3 linked regions of the Schizosaccharomyces pombe genome follow. The main gene of each other region encodes a partner of the protein of the gene in region 2 in a complex. Each region holds a gene or a part of one and is shown on either strand. Other genes may lie near its edges.

Region 1 (5,096 bases), 360 kb from region 2:
GGCAATCAATTTTGAGCACCGTATCTAGTGATAACAAATTATCTTTATCGGTTAAGCACGTTATTGCAGCTGCTTCAGTATGTACACATTTCACTATTTAGCAAAAATAAGATGAAACAAATGATACTACTAAGAGGTTATAATCATATCAGACTGTTTAACCATTCTTTTGTCATTTGCAATAAACACAAAATTTATAAAAGTGGTAGTATTCTTGTTAATCATCTACGTACTGTATTTAATTTGTTGTACCATAAGCCAACTCGAAATATTTTACCATCACACTGTTCTACTTTGCCCACTACACATATACAACAACACAGCGGGATAGCCCTAATTTTTAACGAAGTTAAAAAGAAGTTTGAGGGAATTTAAAATGATTCGTCTTCAAAAGTTTGGTGAAATTGTTGGGACCAGTCGTTCTTGGAAACTTCTTAGTTCAACCATCGCAAAGCGCTATTCTTCTTCTTCCAATGGAGTGAAGGAAATGACCGTTCGTGATGCTTTGAACAGTGCAATGGAAGAAGAAATGAAACGTGACGATCGTGTCTTCTTGATTGGCGAAGAGGTTGCGCAATACAATGGTGCTTATAAGATATCTAGAGGTTTATTAGACAAGTTTGGTCCTAAACGTGTTATCGACACTCCCATTACTGAAATGGGTTTTACTGGTTTGGCAACAGGTGCTGCTTTTGCTGGTTTACGTCCTATTTGTGAGTTTATGACTTTCAATTTTTCCATGCAGGCTATCGATCATATCGTTAACTCGGCCGCCAGAACCCTGTACATGTCTGGTGGTATTCAGGCTTGTCCTATTGTCTTCCGTGGACCTAATGGGCCTGCCGCTGCAGTTGCTGCTCAGCATTCTCAACACTTTGCTCCATGGTATGGTAGTATCCCTGGTCTTAAAGTAGTTTCTCCTTACTCAGCAGAAGATGCTCGTGGTTTGTTGAAGGCTGCTATTCGTGATCCTAATCCCGTTGTTGTACTTGAAAACGAAATTCTTTATGGTAAAACCTTTCCAATTTCGAAAGAAGCGTTGAGCGAGGACTTTGTGCTTCCCTTTGGCCTTGCTAAGGTGGAGCGCCCCGGTAAAGATATCACCATCGTTGGTGAGTCTATTTCTGTTGTTACTGCTTTAGAAGCAGCTGACAAGCTCAAGGCTGACTATGGTGTTGAAGCTGAAGTTATAAACTTGCGTAGTATTCGTCCTTTAGACATCAATACTATCGCGGCCAGTGTTAAGAAGACAAATCGTATTGTGACTGTTGACCAGGCATATAGTCAACATGGTATTGGTAGTGAAATTGCTGCTCAAATTATGGAGTCTGACGCATTTGATTATCTTGATGCTCCTGTTGAACGTGTAAGTATGGCAGATGTTCCCATGCCTTATAGTCATCCTGTTGAGGCTGCTTCTGTCCCAAATGCCGATGTTGTTGTTGCTGCTGCTAAAAAATGCTTGTATATTAAATAACAAGCTCAATTGTTGAGTCATCTGTTTAATAAAACCCGCTCTTTTCCCTTTTCCGAATAGTTGATATCTACGTATTTCGCTTTCTATTATTTTTACATTATCTACAAAGTGTAAATATCTAAGATGCTTGTCTTTAATGACTCAGATTATTGTGTGTGGGTCTTAGATGGTTTTAATTTCTTTGCAATTATTTGCGAAGATATGATTTTTCCAACCATCTTTCCAATTGGTTATCCGGGTTGGTATATCTACCTTTCAGGATAGTTTTGCTTCGTTTATCCTTAATATATGTTATATTGTATATATTACTAAATTCGTGTAAGTTTTTTAACGTAATCTGAAAGCCAGTGAACTTCAATTATATTATATTACAGCTAATGGAAATAATACGCTATATGAATATGTTCAACTATTTGGTGTCTATTATACTCTACTTAACTACTCGTAACCTCTTAAAGCGTAGAATATTAAGTACTTGATCCCACTAAACCTATTTACAGGTCTATCTTTAGTCAATGCACCAAAATGTTTCCATGTGGGGTTGATGAACTACTTATCCCACATCATCCGCTGTAGTATATCTAAGTAGACTTGCGCTAATAATACTTACAATAACAGAATTTCAGAATCCTTGCAGATGAAATCATAGTAGTGTCTTTAGCCTTATTATTGTTGTTTTTATTTCGTTTTGCCTTTAACTTTAAGCAACCACATTCCCTAGGAGCCTTCCCTAATTTTTGGTATAAAATCATGGCTAGCAAAGCAATCCTGGAAGAATTAAATATTCTCTCATCAAAAATATTTGGCACTCAGTATAAATCAAACAACTCGAGAACGGGTCGCAAATTTGTAGTACAAGAGCTGAAGGGAGCAAAACTGAAGAGCTACTATCCCGCAACTATCAATTATCGTCAATTAAGGACCCTTTTAAATGATAAAACATTTCCCGATAGTGATGAGGAATTGCGAATGGAAATCAGGAAAGGGTATGTTAGTTGTTAATTGAGATTGAATGTTTCTTTCACAAGAAATTAGCTAATTAAAATACTAGGAGAATACGCCAAGGAAAAGGAGCCTCCAAGTCAAAAAGTATGTAAAGCTTACTATAAAACCGAATTAGGAACCTTCTAACTCCTGTTTAGAAAAATAAATAATTGAAAATTGTGCCTTTCTAATACTTTGCGGTTACATTTCGCACATTTTCTTTCCAATTATTATCAAATGGGTAACGGCTAAACAGCTTTGAACGAAACTGATAAACTAAGTTTAATTATAAAAATTTTGTTGTTTCATAAACAAAAAATATTATATATCAACTGTGTGCAACAATACTTAACATTTTGATCAGTCGTAAGGAAATTTTTTCTGATGAAAAAGAAGATCTCGCAGTTTTCTAATAGATATTCTTTTGGTCGGAAGCATAGCGTACTGGATATTGTAGAGTTGCTCAGCAGGTATCGCTGGAACTGGGCAACCTACGAGCAAACTAATCAAAGTAGTTTTTGAAAGGTAATGCGAAATTAACCTACGCGCCAGTTTCCGATAATGCTCAAACATGGATCCAAGAGACATCGGTTTGGAGTTGCAATTGAGATATAGCGTTGCGAAGCCGTCTTGTTTTAATGGTTCAAAGCTGACTATCTCAAAATTCAGCCCACTTGGTATTCTATAAGGATCTTTAATTCGTAACATTGTAACAAATAATGGGAAGTGATTCAGGAAGGCTAACATAGTTTCACAGATTGCCAAGCATGTCATCACGGATACTCGTGTTAATGCAAATGCTGCATAGAAAACATATATTGTAGGTAAGAAGAATATTAGTACCGTAAAAAGGATTGTTCCTAAAAGTAGTTGGTCTAAATCATACTCATATGAGTCGATTCTATTTCGTAAAACGTTTCTTTTTTTTCCTCGAAAAAGCTGCAGCAAACTATAAATTACACGTAGCTGCCAATTATACAAACGTGATGAAGCCAAATAAAGCAAATGTATATGAATAGTCATAACACTTAAAAAATCAGAAATTAAAGCGATCATTAAACTAGCACCCCCAAACCCAGAAATAGCGACAACTTGAACCAAAAATGGAGTCCAAGGCAAACAATGCAAAAGAAAATTACTCCATACGTCAATAACCCATACAGAAAGCTTCATAATAAACTTGCAAATGTCGTTGTTTAGTTTTAATCCAGCAGGAGTATCCACGAGCCATATAACCATAGAACGAACGTTTTTTATCGCATACTCGAATGTGATATTTTCTATTAATTTTACCACCAGATGAAGATTCTCTAAAATAAATGAACTCATTGTAATCCCAAAGATCATGTCATTCGCAACCAACCAAAGGTTGTTATAGAATCTAATATATTCTTTGTAATCCTCTATCGCAACGCGCTTGCTTTTCCGAAAAACCCATAATTTCATATATTGTACAGGCCAAAAACACGCTTGTTGCAACCTCAAATCTACTTGACGAGCAGAAACGAAAATATCCATCATATTATAAGATAAAGGAATCGGTCGGTAATTAATCGCCAAGAGTATAACCTCATTAATTATCCTCAATAATATGATAAAGTAAGCAAACAGCGAATTAAAAAAATAAAAGGTTGATGACGAGACACGATCAAAAAGTCGAAAAACATATGAATTTTTTTTGTTATTATTTTCATGTGTTAACATGCGAACCTCGAAGGATTGATTAAGAAGCTCAATTAAGCCTGAGCGTAGACTCCTTTTCCAGCTATTTTCTTTGCGTCGGGGAAAGTGCAATTTCAATTTTTTTAACAGTATTTGCTGGTGTTGCATGCTTTCGTATTCAGGGTTTGACTTGTTAATAAAACTATCTTTTAACAATAAAAGCGATAGAGGTTCAAGGGAAAGAAATTGCATTTTTCTTGGCTGCGGAGGATGATAATAAATTATATGCAGATTTATTTTTAAAGGCGTACTAGCCGAATCGAAAACTCGGGGATGAGAAAGCTCAGTCGATTGCTGCACTTTGATCCAACAATCAATTTCATATTTGTCACCCGGCAAAATATCGGCAGAGCAATTAAACGTGCCTAATATACACAGAGATTTAATATCTACTGATTGATCTTGATTTTTGCAATAATCAACTAAAAAATTAGCGAAGGATTGATAACTAGTAATTGTTGTCACAACGATAAGATCGTTGGTAGAGTACTTCCAACCAACTAAGTAACCAGAATCGGTATAAGAGATCGTACTTTTGGGCCAATATATCCGTTTCACTTCAATTGGAGCCGAAGCTATATTCATGGTTGTGGTAGACATTTGAAATATAATATTGAATGCTCTGAAGTCAATTCCGAAGTGTTTAATAAAAAAGACAAACAAGTAATAACAGACTTTAGAAGCATACAAAAAACTTTTGTTAAGAAAAATATAACAGGAGATGATACTGCTCTCTCCGGTGTTTAGAACTCAAGTTGTAAAATCAAAAACTTCCTCGACGTAAAAGCTGTTCCCTTGCAGAAATGCCACCGCTAACTGACGTTGAGTTACGAGCTTCGGATTCAGCGATTCGTTCTAAAAGAATGAAAATAAAAAATCCTAAAACGGTAAACAGTAGTACGTATGAAGGAAC
Region 2 (5,974 bases):
AAATTATCTAAAGGAGCTAGAGAAGAGACGTAAATGTTTTAAACTTTCATTAAAACAATATGTAAAAACCCATCAATGTAACAGAAATCTCGATTGAGCTCGTCTAAAACGCTCTGAAGAAAAATTGTAATACCATGAATAACTGGTTTAACTATTAAGAATTTATCACATGATGGAAACAAGTCGGGAAGGCGTTTATTGAGAAACTCACCAAGAGAACTACCAAGAGGTGCAGAAGTTTGTATAATAGGAGCATTGGCCCCTAAATAAATTTTTAAAGGAATGAATTTGGATTTTGAAAAAAGTATTTTTATAGCAATGGGACGGAAATCATAGTAATCATGATTGAGTATTGCATTCCAGTAGGTGTCTGTTTCTGCCTTTGAAAGAGCGATTATTCCAGACGAACTTCCGTTACGAACGTAATCAGACTGTAAAAAGTTAATATGGATTTACCCCTTTTGTAAATAAATCATATATGTTTTTGTGATAGAGAACGCACCTCTTTTAAGCAGTTGAAAAAATATGTTCGAAAAGTATCCATGGTTTCCATTTGAAGTATTTTGGTTGTAGGAAATAGACCTGAGCGCAATTGAATGCGCCATAGCACCGGCGCTCGAGGAGTATCCGGATCAAACACTGTTAACAAATCGAAAAGTAAGCCAACAGGCCAATGCCTATATTATGATTAATTTACGGAAAGTTACTTTGGGTAAACGATACCATTTAAGAGGAACCCCATTATAATCCAACCAACATTCTGATAAAGGGATTGAAGGTGCCAACAGACGTTGAACATTTGGGAGTATTTGAGCAAAATATGATTGTCGCGGGACGTTAGCCTTAGGTAGAATATGGTGAGCAAAAAGGAAAAAATAAATTGAGTTAAAGAATATTAAATTACTACTTGAGTGAACAAATCACATACTAGATAGGCCAGAGAATTACCTTCATAATCAATGCGCACAGAAATAGTGCCATTCCAAAGGAGCTCTGGAATATTGCCTTTATTATTATCGACATTCATTTTTAAAAAACATCTCCAATACTGTGATTAGAAATTGTGCTTTTGTTGTATACTTAACAAACTCGTGGGTGGTTGGAATGCGTTGATAAATAGCTTAGAGTCAGACATTCACTATAATTAGTTAAATTAATGTTTTTACAATTAAAGTAAGTGGGCTTTAAATACACATAGTAGAGTCTTCAAAAAATTCACCCGAAAATATAACTGGTAATTTATATGTTCAAAATACGAGTTCCTGCTATACAAAAACCGCAATTAGGAATTTGTAGATTCACTGTATTGATTAGTTAATAGACACGTAATGACTTTTCGGAAGTAGAAGTTTGAGATATTCAAGGGACTTGAAAGTTTGCATGCAGTAAATCTCATAAAAGAATTAAAAGCAAGGATTTATATAGCTAATAATTGCAGGCACTAAGCTTGACATGGTCGCACTATGAGTCGCTAGTACGTTTGTGAGACTTTCGCATACGTTCCAGAAACTGTACACAACTTATTTAAACAACCAAATATTTTTAAAACAATACTGGTAAATATGTTGATCTTGAAGAGGATTTTCATTATAAGAAATTTTATATTTCCTTTTTCTAACTGCCGGTATGCCTCTACTGTTCCTAGTCCAAGATCAGGTATGAGATTTCAAAACATTAGTGCAATTTAAATTCCTAACAAGATTCAGGGATTTCTAATACAAATGATTTCTTTAAAAGAATTGGAAGAGATACTGCAGAAAAAGTGAACGGAAAATTCGAGTCTTGGGATGGTCTATTTAGGAAAAGTACAAAAACTATGAAAAAGGAAGGTATTGATGTACGTACAAGGAAATACATTGCAAGCCAAAGAAACCGATTTAAAGAAGGGTTTATAGTTAAGCCATATCCAGTTATGGTTAAAAAGAATGGAGGTGAGCGACGCAAACGTAAATAATAAGTATATGGAATATTATATTCTTTTGAGACATTCTTTCTTCTTTTTGTAGTTGAGTTTTTGCTTGAGTTCGAATTAATCTAAAATTTGCTTAAAATAGCCAACACTGTTCAAAGCATGTCTTTTCTCGACGAAGATGTGGAGCCTAGAACGCAAAGCCGATTAAACAATTGTCCATGAAACCATTTAGCAAATTCTGGAGAATTTTCCATTAGTGCGGAATTGGCGCTAGGGTATTGTCTCCCTCTTTCCAAGTTATTTTCATTTGTTTCGTTCACGGGCTTCCATTCCCACTCTCCTGCCCAGATTAATTTAGCTTCAATTTTTTCTCTAGTCCTAATATATAAAAAATTTTCTTTTAGCTCCATTAAGTCTACACCATCGCTAAATTCCTTTAGGACTGATGTATACTCAATAACTTGTTGATCATTGCCGGATACCATCCAAACTATACGTATAGTTGGTATTTCTATTTAATGGTTATAAATTTTTAACTTCAGCTGCACCTTAAATCGTTTGTTAGCAGATTCTTTTTGAGTATGTGTGCAAAGGTATTCGTTTGCGTTTGCGTCAAAGGGCTTGGTCAATTAGATGAGCCAACTGTGGTAAATTTTTATGTTAGGTTGATATCAATATGAACAGCAAATTTACTCTAAATGTGTACTTAAAGGCATAAGGAATATTTATACTATGTCATTAATCTTCTAGTACTAATCTTGGGCATTCGTTTCTTTTGGCATGGAAATTCGCTGTCGCGTTATCACAAGCCCTGGAGAACTAATTTCTTTGACCGCATTAGTTGTGTTGAGTGATTCCTCATCATTTTTGCCTATTTTTTTTAACTCTAAACTTTCATGCTCAGTGAATACATCATCGAAATCTTTTGCATCCTGGATGGATCGTTTAATTCTTTTATCGCGGATTTGCATGTAACTAACAATACAAGAGCTAACAAAGACTATTCCTCCTACCACCAGCAAACCAATTAATCCTTTTATAAATCGAGGCGTATCAGTATTGGGATACATTATAGGTGCCCACCAAATATGCCAGATATTCTGACACATATTCATCAAAAACACAACAACTCCTCTTTCCTGATCATTATCCCGGCAAATGTCATTTGCCCAAGAAAACCAAACTGCTTGTCCAGCATATGTACAACCAGAAGCGAAATAAGCAAAGAATTTTGCGCCATCTGGCACGTTCCATGCTAGAAGTATTGTAGCAGAAACAGTAGTAATTACGCACAGAAAAAGTCCAAAAGGCCATCTTGGGTTTCCAGCTAATTTATCAGAAATAACACTAGCACCTAACGTTGATACTACGCCAACAGCTGTAATCACAGTTGGGTAATTATTTATTTGGGCAACAGAAAATTTGTTGCTCCATTTCATCCACTGACCCATCAATACATTGACAGCTATAGCTTGTGTTTCTCCGCTAAAAATCCAAAGGATGCACAAACCGTAAATTCGCCATGAACGTACAATATCCTTTATCGCTTTTAGCGTTAATGGCTTCTTCTTGGGGCGAGCGGGTAGCCTTTTGAAACTTAATTCTTTTTCTTGTTCTGTAAAATAAGGAGCCTTGGTTGTTTCTGGAACGTCAGGAAACAGAAAGAGCCCATATAATGAAAGAGGAATCGTCAAAATGCCATCAATTATAAAAAGCCAACGCCAACCAGATAAACCACCTTTACCATTTAATGATGAATGAACTGCTGTTTGCAAATACCCAGCAAACATTGTGCCGACTAAACCAGAGGCTGAAAAAATTCCGGCACGTTTGCATAGTTCACTTTCTTTGTACCATGCGCCCAATATATAATGCGTACCAGCAAATGTAGATGCCTCCGCAACCGCCATGAAAAAGCGTAAAATCATCAATGCTCGAACGGAATGTACCGCAAATGAAAAAATCGTCATAAGTCCCCATAAAATATTCATAACCGAAAACCAAAGTCTTGCTGGTACTCTCTGTAATGCATAAGAACCTGGCAATTGTCCTATAATGTATCCACATGTAAAAACAACGTTTATATCTTGCAATTCATTACCATGCATTTTCAAATCCTCTTGCATACCACTAAGGTATGCATTGTTTATTGATGATCTATCCAAGTAATTAATAAAATATGAAACGCAACAGTAAGAAAGTATGAACCAATCTATTTTTATTAAAAGCTTTTGTTCAACTTTGTTTAATCCATAATAAGGGGAAAAGGTTTTTGCCAACCTATTTAGTAACGCCATTACGACTTGTCTCACTTATGAAATATTCACGACAATTTACAGAGGAGACCTAACTTAAATTTTTATGGCTTTAGAAAACGTACAATTTCAATGGATTCTCATGAAAAGTGCCTATATTAAAGTAAAGCCAGGGACCTAAGCAAGGAACAAACACTTCGAGTCAAAATCGAATTGCAGACTGTTGGAATATCAATATGCTCCAGCCAGGAAAATTTTTTCTTTAATTTTTCTGAAAAATCAAGATTATAAGTATCGATCGAGCCTTCTAAAAAGTGACAATATCAATGCCGGAAACCCAATCTTAATTTTTAGATGTGCGCTGATTACTCGGAATTGGCTAGCAAGTTGGATACTTATTCTCGACGTAGCCACAATGAGTACTATACTTTGCTGCTCTATTTGTGGAAATTAACTGTATTGCAAAAAACATCTAACCTTTCAATTAATAAGCATTCGGTTCAAGTGGCTACAATACAATAACCACTATTTGCGAGATTAAACATACTATTACAGTAACCAACACATTTGAAATGTAAAAAATTGCCATAGTTGAAGCTATTCAGCGTCAGCGAACATCTTCGGAGAGCTCAAATAATCTTAGCTCTTAAGATGGGGGTTTTTTCTGCCGAATACTGTATCTGTTTGACTTTTATTTTTAATACGTTGGAGTAACCGCTGTATTCTTGTGCAACTTGGTGTTTTTGAAATTAACAATGGCACTGTTGATGAACGAAAGTGAATTATAATACATTTTTTGACAGTACCAATCTTATGGAAGTGCCTTGAAATCCTGTTACGTTACGTTTTAGCAAGATCGCTTCTCTTATGATTTTCTTGTTTCAATGGTTTTCTACCCATAATCAATGAAATATGTTTACAAGGGTTACGAGTTTTGTAAAGCAAATGCACTTTAAAAATTGACCAGAAACTTCCATATATTAGAACCAAAATTTTTTGGAATACATTTTAACATAGTAAATTAAAATAAGCCGTTTACTTATTCTAATTTACAGAAGCGCTTCTATAATGTTTAAGTAACGAACGTTTTTGTCACCCAACACCACCCAACTTCGTATCCCAAGATTTATAACTTGTTCGGACAAACATCGTTGGTAAAGACTTGCATCGTTCATTACAGAACGAATTTTATTATTTATAGTTCACATTTGTGAATCTTAAGATGCAATGTCTGCTGAGGGAAAAGCCAAGATCCTTGGCCTTAGTCAATAAGGACCATGCTCTTATGTTTCATTCGGTTCCTCAGAACAAAAACTCTTTATCAGTATGTGTTGCAGAATTTACGGCATTGTCAGAAAAGCCGTTAGAAGGATTTCGAAAAATCTCCAGTCATCGAATTTATGGTACTCTAGGTCTGATTGAATTAGAAGGGTCCAATTTTTTGTGCGTGATTAGTGGAGCTAGTGAGGTAGCACGTGTGCGAGATAAAGAAAGAGTTTTTCGTATCATGGAGGTCTGCTTTTACAGTGTTAATCGTTCAAACTGGGATCACATTCGACAAGAAAATTACTCGCCTGATATTCCGGATGGTTACGATACCGATACCCAAGGCTATGATTCTTACAAGTATGCCGCTGAACCATTCAGTAGTCTCAGAAAGCTATTAACAAATGGATCATTTTACTTTTCTCTCGATTTTGACATTACTACCCGACTGCAACTTCGTACGTCTCAAACAATGACGGAGCCTCAATATGATAGCATGCATACTCAATTTATGTGGAACGAATTTATGCTTAGACAGTTG
Region 3 (6,180 bases), on a different chromosome or scaffold from region 2:
AAACCAAATGCAACGCAAAAATCTAGAAAAACTTGATCATAAATAAGAGTCTTTCACAATTCCTAGCACGTCGTAAAATAATAAATACAAATTGAAAATAAGGGAGAAATAGATCACTTAACGATAGTTTTTTTAGAATGATATGATAGTAGGTTTGGCATGTAGCTCAACTGAATGTATTTTTGAATAATTTAAGTTGAAAGGGAAACGTTTTTAAAGCTTTGAAATATGCCGATAACCTTTATGGTAACGTCTCAACTTTTAAATAGAACAAGCGATTTCTCCGAGCAACAAAAAGACGAAAATAAAAGACAGTCTTATTGCTGTACTTGTAGTTCAAAACTGTGTCCTAGTAGAGTGCTATTTCCTTGTTTTTCTACTTCACCTAATATGGTGGTTGATTGCGGGCTCAAATCCCTTGGGGGGCCTCAACACCATCAGACTAACTTCGTTCACATTAGGTCTGAAAGTATACAGGATCCTTGAGTTCTTTATATCATCATACAATAAATATAAAAGCAAAACTGTGTCTTTTCTAGAATACGATTTGTATGCTTTTTCCAGCGTAATTCCGCTTAAATTGGGATTATGAAACAGGTACGTTTTTACGAGTCTTACGGGCCTTAAAGTGATAATTTTATTGTACTTCGATAACTAATTAATATTTTTAATTAAAAAGAAGGAGACCAAAACCAGTCAAATTGCTTTAGTCGATGGTGAAAAATTATCGATAACAGATTCTTTTGCCTCCCTTTTTACTCTAGACGAAGAAGAAGAAAACGACTCTGTAGACAATGAAGAGATTAAGTTAACAAAAGAGAAACATGAAAAGTTACTTCTTTTATTTTGGTTGCATTGCAAGTTTCCTAATGGATTAGAATGGCTTCATTCATCAAGTGATCTTTTACCAGAGCAAGTTTCTGAGTGGTTTAACTTTTATCAAAAGTATCGTTTTAAAAGGTATGTCTCATTGAGTAACTTTTTGTATTTTCCTCAAATGTACAACTAACATGCAAGGGGGCGAAATTTTAATCTTTCAGCTAGAGAATCTGTAACTCCTATCGTTGAAGAACCGATAGTTCCCGAAGAACCCGATAATTTGGAAGGAGTTTCAGAGGAGACACCTTTAAAAGAAACTTCCCTAGAACTTAGCGAGGAGGAAATTATAACGTCAAAATCTCCCATACCTTCACCTGAAACTATACATAAAAATATTGACGTAGAAGAGAAAGAAACTATTGAACCAACAACACCCGTAAAAGAAGTGGAAACCACTGCTCATGCTGAAGAGGAAAAAGGCCCTTTGACGCCAGATAGCGAGTATGCTGCTCGACAGCTTACCGAAGAACTTGCAAACAAATCCTCTCAAGAAGAAGGAGTCGATAAGCAATTAAGAGTGGTTGAAGCTACCGAAAAGGAACATGAGGAAGATGGGAATGAAGAAAATGTGACCGTTACCAAACCGGTAGAGGTTGCGACTGATCAAGTTGAGTCTAAAGAAGTGAAAAAGAAAGAGGTATCAGAGACAACGGAACCTACGGCTCCCCCTGTCACTGTTGCAGAAGTTTTGGAAATTGAAGATAAAGTCCCAAAGGTTGATGAAGTTGAAGAAGTTCATTCTCCTGAAGCCAAGGTCACTGAAAATGATGTTGAGAATGTACAATCAGGTATTGATATTGAAAAAACTATACAATTATTAAATAATCAAGAGATTCCTTCGGAACAACAAATCATTTCCGTTGACAAGGCCACTGAATCTCCTGTTCAGGAAGTAGCGGTTGATGTCAACGAGAAGCCAGTAGATGAAATTGTTGAGCCTAGTAAATTACAAATGGAAAATAAGTTACCATCGGAAAAATCCCCTACAATTGACAGAACTGGGGTTGAAGCTCCGCTTTTTGAACTTTCTGTATCTATGCCACTAACTTTAATTCCTCCTTCAAAATTTTCTGAACCGGTGAAACCAGAGCTTTCCTCAGAAGCATGGCTGCTTCGAACAGAAATGTCGCCTTTACATTTAAGGTTGAAAAATGCACATAAATATGTTCTATCAGATAACTGGTCTCATGCGTATCGCGAGGAAATTGTACGACAATCACTACATCATTTAACGGTTGCAAAAGAAAAAGGTATTTGGTCCTTTAGACAGCCCAAAAGACAAAACGAGATGCCACGATTGAAAACTCATCGGGATTATGTTTTGGATGAGATGCAATGGATGTCAATTGATTTTTCTCAAGAGCGTAAATGGAAAATTATATTGGCTCATAGAATGGCGAATTGGGTAATGGATTACCATCAAGCTAGTGATAAATGTACTGTTTGTACTCCGGCTTCGTTGTCAAAGAATAAGAAGCCGTACATGCAAGAGAATGAACATCAGAAAGACTCTCACGAGGAAACGTTTAATGAACAAATAGTGAGCCATTTTAATCTAAATGATAATAATAACAACAAAGTGCTCTCTATTCCCAGGGATTCTTTACAGTTTTATAATGCTGTTTTTTCGGATGATATATTTGTGACAACAAACTCCGAACAAATTCAGAACTGCGTTTTAAACGTTCCTATGTACGGTCCTCCTACTGAAAACAATGAATATTGTGAAGAAATATCTGAAAAGTACCCGATCACTCCTGTGTCACGTTTTGCATATGCCAAAACAAAGCTTAAATCCACCTGTGCAAAGGCTTCTAGGAAACGTTTGTTCAACCAATTGGAATTATCACCACCTGAGTCGTTTATGGAAAAGAAGGCGAGAAGCGATGAGAACCAGCTAGATGGAAATAAAATTAAGGATGATAATCAGAAGCTATCCTCAGTAGGAACCTTTAGTGTGCGGCCTCCGTATCCGCCTTCTAGTAAAGATATTCGTCCAGAAGCCCCTTGGTTGCCCGAAGAAGATGAACTCCTTTTATTACTCTTGCGACGATATTCCTTTAATTGGGAATTTGTTGCCAGTAGGTTAACACCACCAGGTTTGTACATACCGCTTGCCGAGAAGCGGACTGCGTGGGATTGTTTTGAAAGATGGATTCAAGTGGATCCCAGAGCCGCCAATGTCCAATTGACTGGCTCCCATGCAAGACTCGCTCAGCAGAAATTAGATGAATCCTTAAGACATTCGGATAAAGTTAGCCAACATCTATCCTTACGGGATGAAGGAACACCTAACCATTTGATTAAACATAATTCTTACTTCTTATTGCCAACTGTATCAAGACATTACCGACCCATTACTATATTTGAAGCTATACGAAAGATCCTTAAAAAGAGAGAGTTTGCTAAAAAACCCACTATGACCAAGAGAGCGATTGCACCATCTGCAGCTTCAACTGAAAAATTGCCGCCGGTTCCTTCCCCTCTCGAACTTTCTCGTTTGAAATCTGAGCGTGAGGCACAAATACAGCAAATACAGGCTCAGAGAAACTTTGCACAATTGCAATCACAAAACAGGGCTCTACGGCCGCAAAACGCCGCTGTTGCTGCTGGTGCACAACAACACAACCAGCAACTAGCAGCCTTTCAAGCTGTAGCTGCTTCACAAAATAGTAGTAACAATTCATCAGCGGGTGTCTCGCCTATAGCTGGTAGAATGGTCCCCAGGCTTCAGCCATACGCTGTTTCCAGTTCTTTAAAACTAACACCTGAACAAATTCATCAGTTGCAGCAAAGGAAGCAAACTGTACCTACTACTGAAAGGACACAGTAAGTATCGCCTCAATGCAATTTTTCGATTTATTGTATTTTTTTTGAGTGCTGTTGTATATTAGAAGGAAATTACGAGGCGAGAGCTTTTTCTCTCACACAATAAAAATAGAATACGTTTTCATTTTCGTATCCCGGTTGTTGGTTTTTTAACAGAATCAAGCAAATCGAGGTAATACGAAGTGTACATGATAAGTGAAGTTTGATTTCATAAACGTTATTTTAGCTAATGAATATGTTTTAATTTTTGAAAGACAGACACCATTCTCGGTAGACAAAAACTCCATGTGATGGGCCTTGTAGAAGCGGGCGACAGTGTCATATAACCTCGTCGTGGGACTTTGTTTAGCTTCTTAGCAGTCTTTGCATTCGTCCGAGTGTTCTGTCCATTAACGGGTAACCTGAAATATTCATTAGTTAAGTTGAAAAAGTTGTCGAAGACAGCTACGTTCACAAATGATCTTTTCATACCCGTTTACATGTCTCATTCCCCGATAGCATCGGATATTCACCAATCTTGAGATATCAGCATTCCGTTGACGCCGTAAGTCACCTTCAATAGTCATTCCTGATAGCAGTTGCGACAACGTTGTCAATTGAACATTTGTCAGCTCTCGAACCCTTAACGTATTGTGAAATGATAATTTTGCGCATATTTCTTCAGCCTTGGCATGTCCAATTCCATAAAAAGAAAGTAGAGCAAACCGCACAGGTTTATCGTCGTTTACAGCCACTCCAAGTATGTATACCATGATGCAAAATCTCAGATATCAACAGATGAGACAGAAACCAGCTCAATAATGAAGTGGACAATTTGGTTTTGTAATTCAGTTCTCTATCAGTAATCAGAGAGCTTAAAACCGTTCTGAATATAAGTATTAGGCTTTCTTGTAAAAGAGTGGAGTGGTGGTGTTTAGATATAATACACAGTTGGATCTCTCATATTTTTAGAAAACTAGTTAGATTGTACAGACTCCGGGCCTAGTAATAAAAGACAATTTGAGTAATCATTAAAGAGCTACTATCTAAGGTGTAATTTGATGTTTAAGAAGACCATAAATAGGGCAAGGTAAGACGAAGAAAAACAAATAAAGAAGAGATATCGTCAAAGGCCTTCCTTTTCTGTTCAAATTTTAAAATTTATGAACTCAAATGATCCCTTCGTTCAATGGTCTCAGTTTAAAATTTATTATTGAAAAATATATTCACGACATTACTGTCTCTTACAAAGTTGAATGTTCAACAGTACATGCGGAAGTACAGTAAAAAGTTTTGGAATAAAATTTTATATATTCTAACAATGCTTTGCGGATCTCAACTGTCATATATATTTCAAGTGCAGCTCCTTTACATTGCTATGCTTGTGCAGGTCCTAGGCATTTTAAATGAGCAGTAGCTTTCCGCATTTCAATTGAAACTTCAGTGCTTTCTTCTTATATGGGATATGACTAATTTTATCGCTTAACACAATTGGTAGTGTTCATTTTTATTATTACTTAAGCAATCCGCAAATCATGTGGTTTAATAGTCAGTTTTTAAATTGATGTTTTATTTAACTTTAAAAAACAAAGCAACTGAAAGAAGTATAGTACTGTAGATTTCAGTAATATTGTAACTACTATACGTTTTTTCTTTTTTTTTTTTTTTTTTTTTTTTTTTTTTTACAATATGAAGACTAAGATGAAAATTAAAAATATTATTGCGAATAGGAATACAGATCGTATGGTAAAATAATAGATCGAAAATAGCAATTAATTTAAAAAATTGCTTCACATGGCTTTGTAAAGATGTGTGGGCTAACATACTAGAAAATAAAAAAAATATGAAGATAAAATGAGTTTAGCTCTCAAATTTGGCAGTAATATTGACATCTGTAATAGTGGAATTCTCTGGGACAGTCATGATATAAAACTGAAGAAAGCGATAGTATTCTTCATCCTCTTCCTCATTCTCTTCATCTTCTTCAGTGCGCTTTTTCAAGTTGGGTCTGTCAGGATTAACAAAAGTGTTCCAACTTTGGTAAGCACGAAGGAAATCAGCATAAGTTTTTGCGGGAGCAGCTTCGAATTCGCGCTTTTTCAAGTTGGGTCTGTCAGGATTAACAAAAGTGTTCCAACTATGGTAAGCACGAAGGAAATCAGCATAACTCTTCTCTGGGGCAGCTTCAAACTCACGCTTTTTCAAATTGGGTCTGTCAGGATTAACAAAAGTGTTCCAACTTTGATAAGCACGAAGGAAATCAGCATAAGTTTTTGCGGGAGCAGCTTCGAATTCGCGCTTTTTCAAGTTGGGTCTATCAGGATTAGCAAAAGTGTTCCAACTTTGGTAAACACGAAGGAAATCAGCATATGACTTGCTAACTGAAACCACACCAGGATCGGCAACTGGAATAGGTGAGGCAGCAGCAAGTGAGAATAAAAGGGCAATGACAGCGGTGATCTTCATAATGTATGTGAAAAAAATAAAATTTCG

What was found.
Region 1: fyv4 (region 2) and rsm27 share a complex: the UniProt entries of both Schizosaccharomyces pombe proteins name them as parts of the mitochondrial small ribosomal subunit.
Region 3: fyv4 (region 2) and sws2 share a complex: the UniProt entries of both Schizosaccharomyces pombe proteins name them as parts of the mitochondrial small ribosomal subunit.

What each region holds. Positions count from the first base shown.
Region 1 is NC_003423.3:3,070,167-3,075,262, forward strand, and holds rsm27 (mitochondrial 37S ribosomal protein mS33), read left to right. Parts: upstream 1-2,087; 5' UTR 2,088-2,227; coding exon 2,228-2,463; intron 2,464-2,528; coding exon 2,529-2,566; intron 2,567-2,619; coding exon 2,620-2,627; 3' UTR 2,628-2,821; downstream 2,822-5,096. Other genes in the region: pyruvate dehydrogenase e1 component beta subunit Pdb1, read left to right, coding at 377-1,477; gpi1 (pig-Q), read right to left, coding at 2,822-4,783. UniProt on the Schizosaccharomyces pombe protein: Component of the mitochondrial ribosome (mitoribosome), a dedicated translation machinery responsible for the synthesis of mitochondrial genome-encoded proteins, including at least some of the essential transmembrane subunits of the mitochondrial respiratory chain.
Region 2 is NC_003423.3:3,432,164-3,438,137, forward strand, and holds fyv4 (mitochondrial 37S ribosomal protein mS41 ), read left to right. Parts: upstream 1-1,504; 5' UTR 1,505-1,562; coding exon 1,563-1,656; exon of another isoform or gene 1,657-1,706; coding exon 1,707-1,954; 3' UTR 1,955-2,064; coding exon of another isoform or gene 2,065-2,397; 3' UTR 2,398-2,664; coding exon of another isoform or gene 2,665-4,209; 3' UTR 4,210-5,345; downstream 5,346-5,974. Other genes in the region: autophagy-associated protein Atg5, read right to left, coding at 39-431, 503-677, 724-842, 929-1,027; SPOM_SPBC4B4.12C (uncharacterized protein), read right to left, coding at 2,065-2,397; plasma membrane pantothenate transmembrane transporter Liz1, read right to left, coding at 2,665-4,209; syj1 (inositol-1,4,5-trisphosphate 5-phosphatase 1), read left to right, coding at 5,390-5,974. UniProt on the Schizosaccharomyces pombe protein: Component of the mitochondrial ribosome (mitoribosome), a dedicated translation machinery responsible for the synthesis of mitochondrial genome-encoded proteins, including at least some of the essential transmembrane subunits of the mitochondrial respiratory chain.
Region 3 is NC_003421.2:980,532-986,711, forward strand, and holds sws2 (mitochondrial 37S ribosomal protein uS13m), read right to left. Parts: upstream 4,624-6,180; 5' UTR 4,461-4,623; coding exon 4,180-4,460; exon of another isoform or gene 4,110-4,179; coding exon 3,935-4,109; 3' UTR 3,713-3,934; coding exon of another isoform or gene 1,018-3,712; 3' UTR 961-1,017; coding exon of another isoform or gene 680-960; 3' UTR 615-679; downstream 1-614. Other genes in the region: vid21 (NuA4 histone acetyltransferase complex scaffold subunit Vid21/Eaf1), read left to right, coding at 589-597, 680-960, 1,018-3,712; P-factor pheromone Map2, read right to left, coding at 5,548-6,153. UniProt on the Schizosaccharomyces pombe protein: Component of the mitochondrial ribosome (mitoribosome), a dedicated translation machinery responsible for the synthesis of mitochondrial genome-encoded proteins, including at least some of the essential transmembrane subunits of the mitochondrial respiratory chain.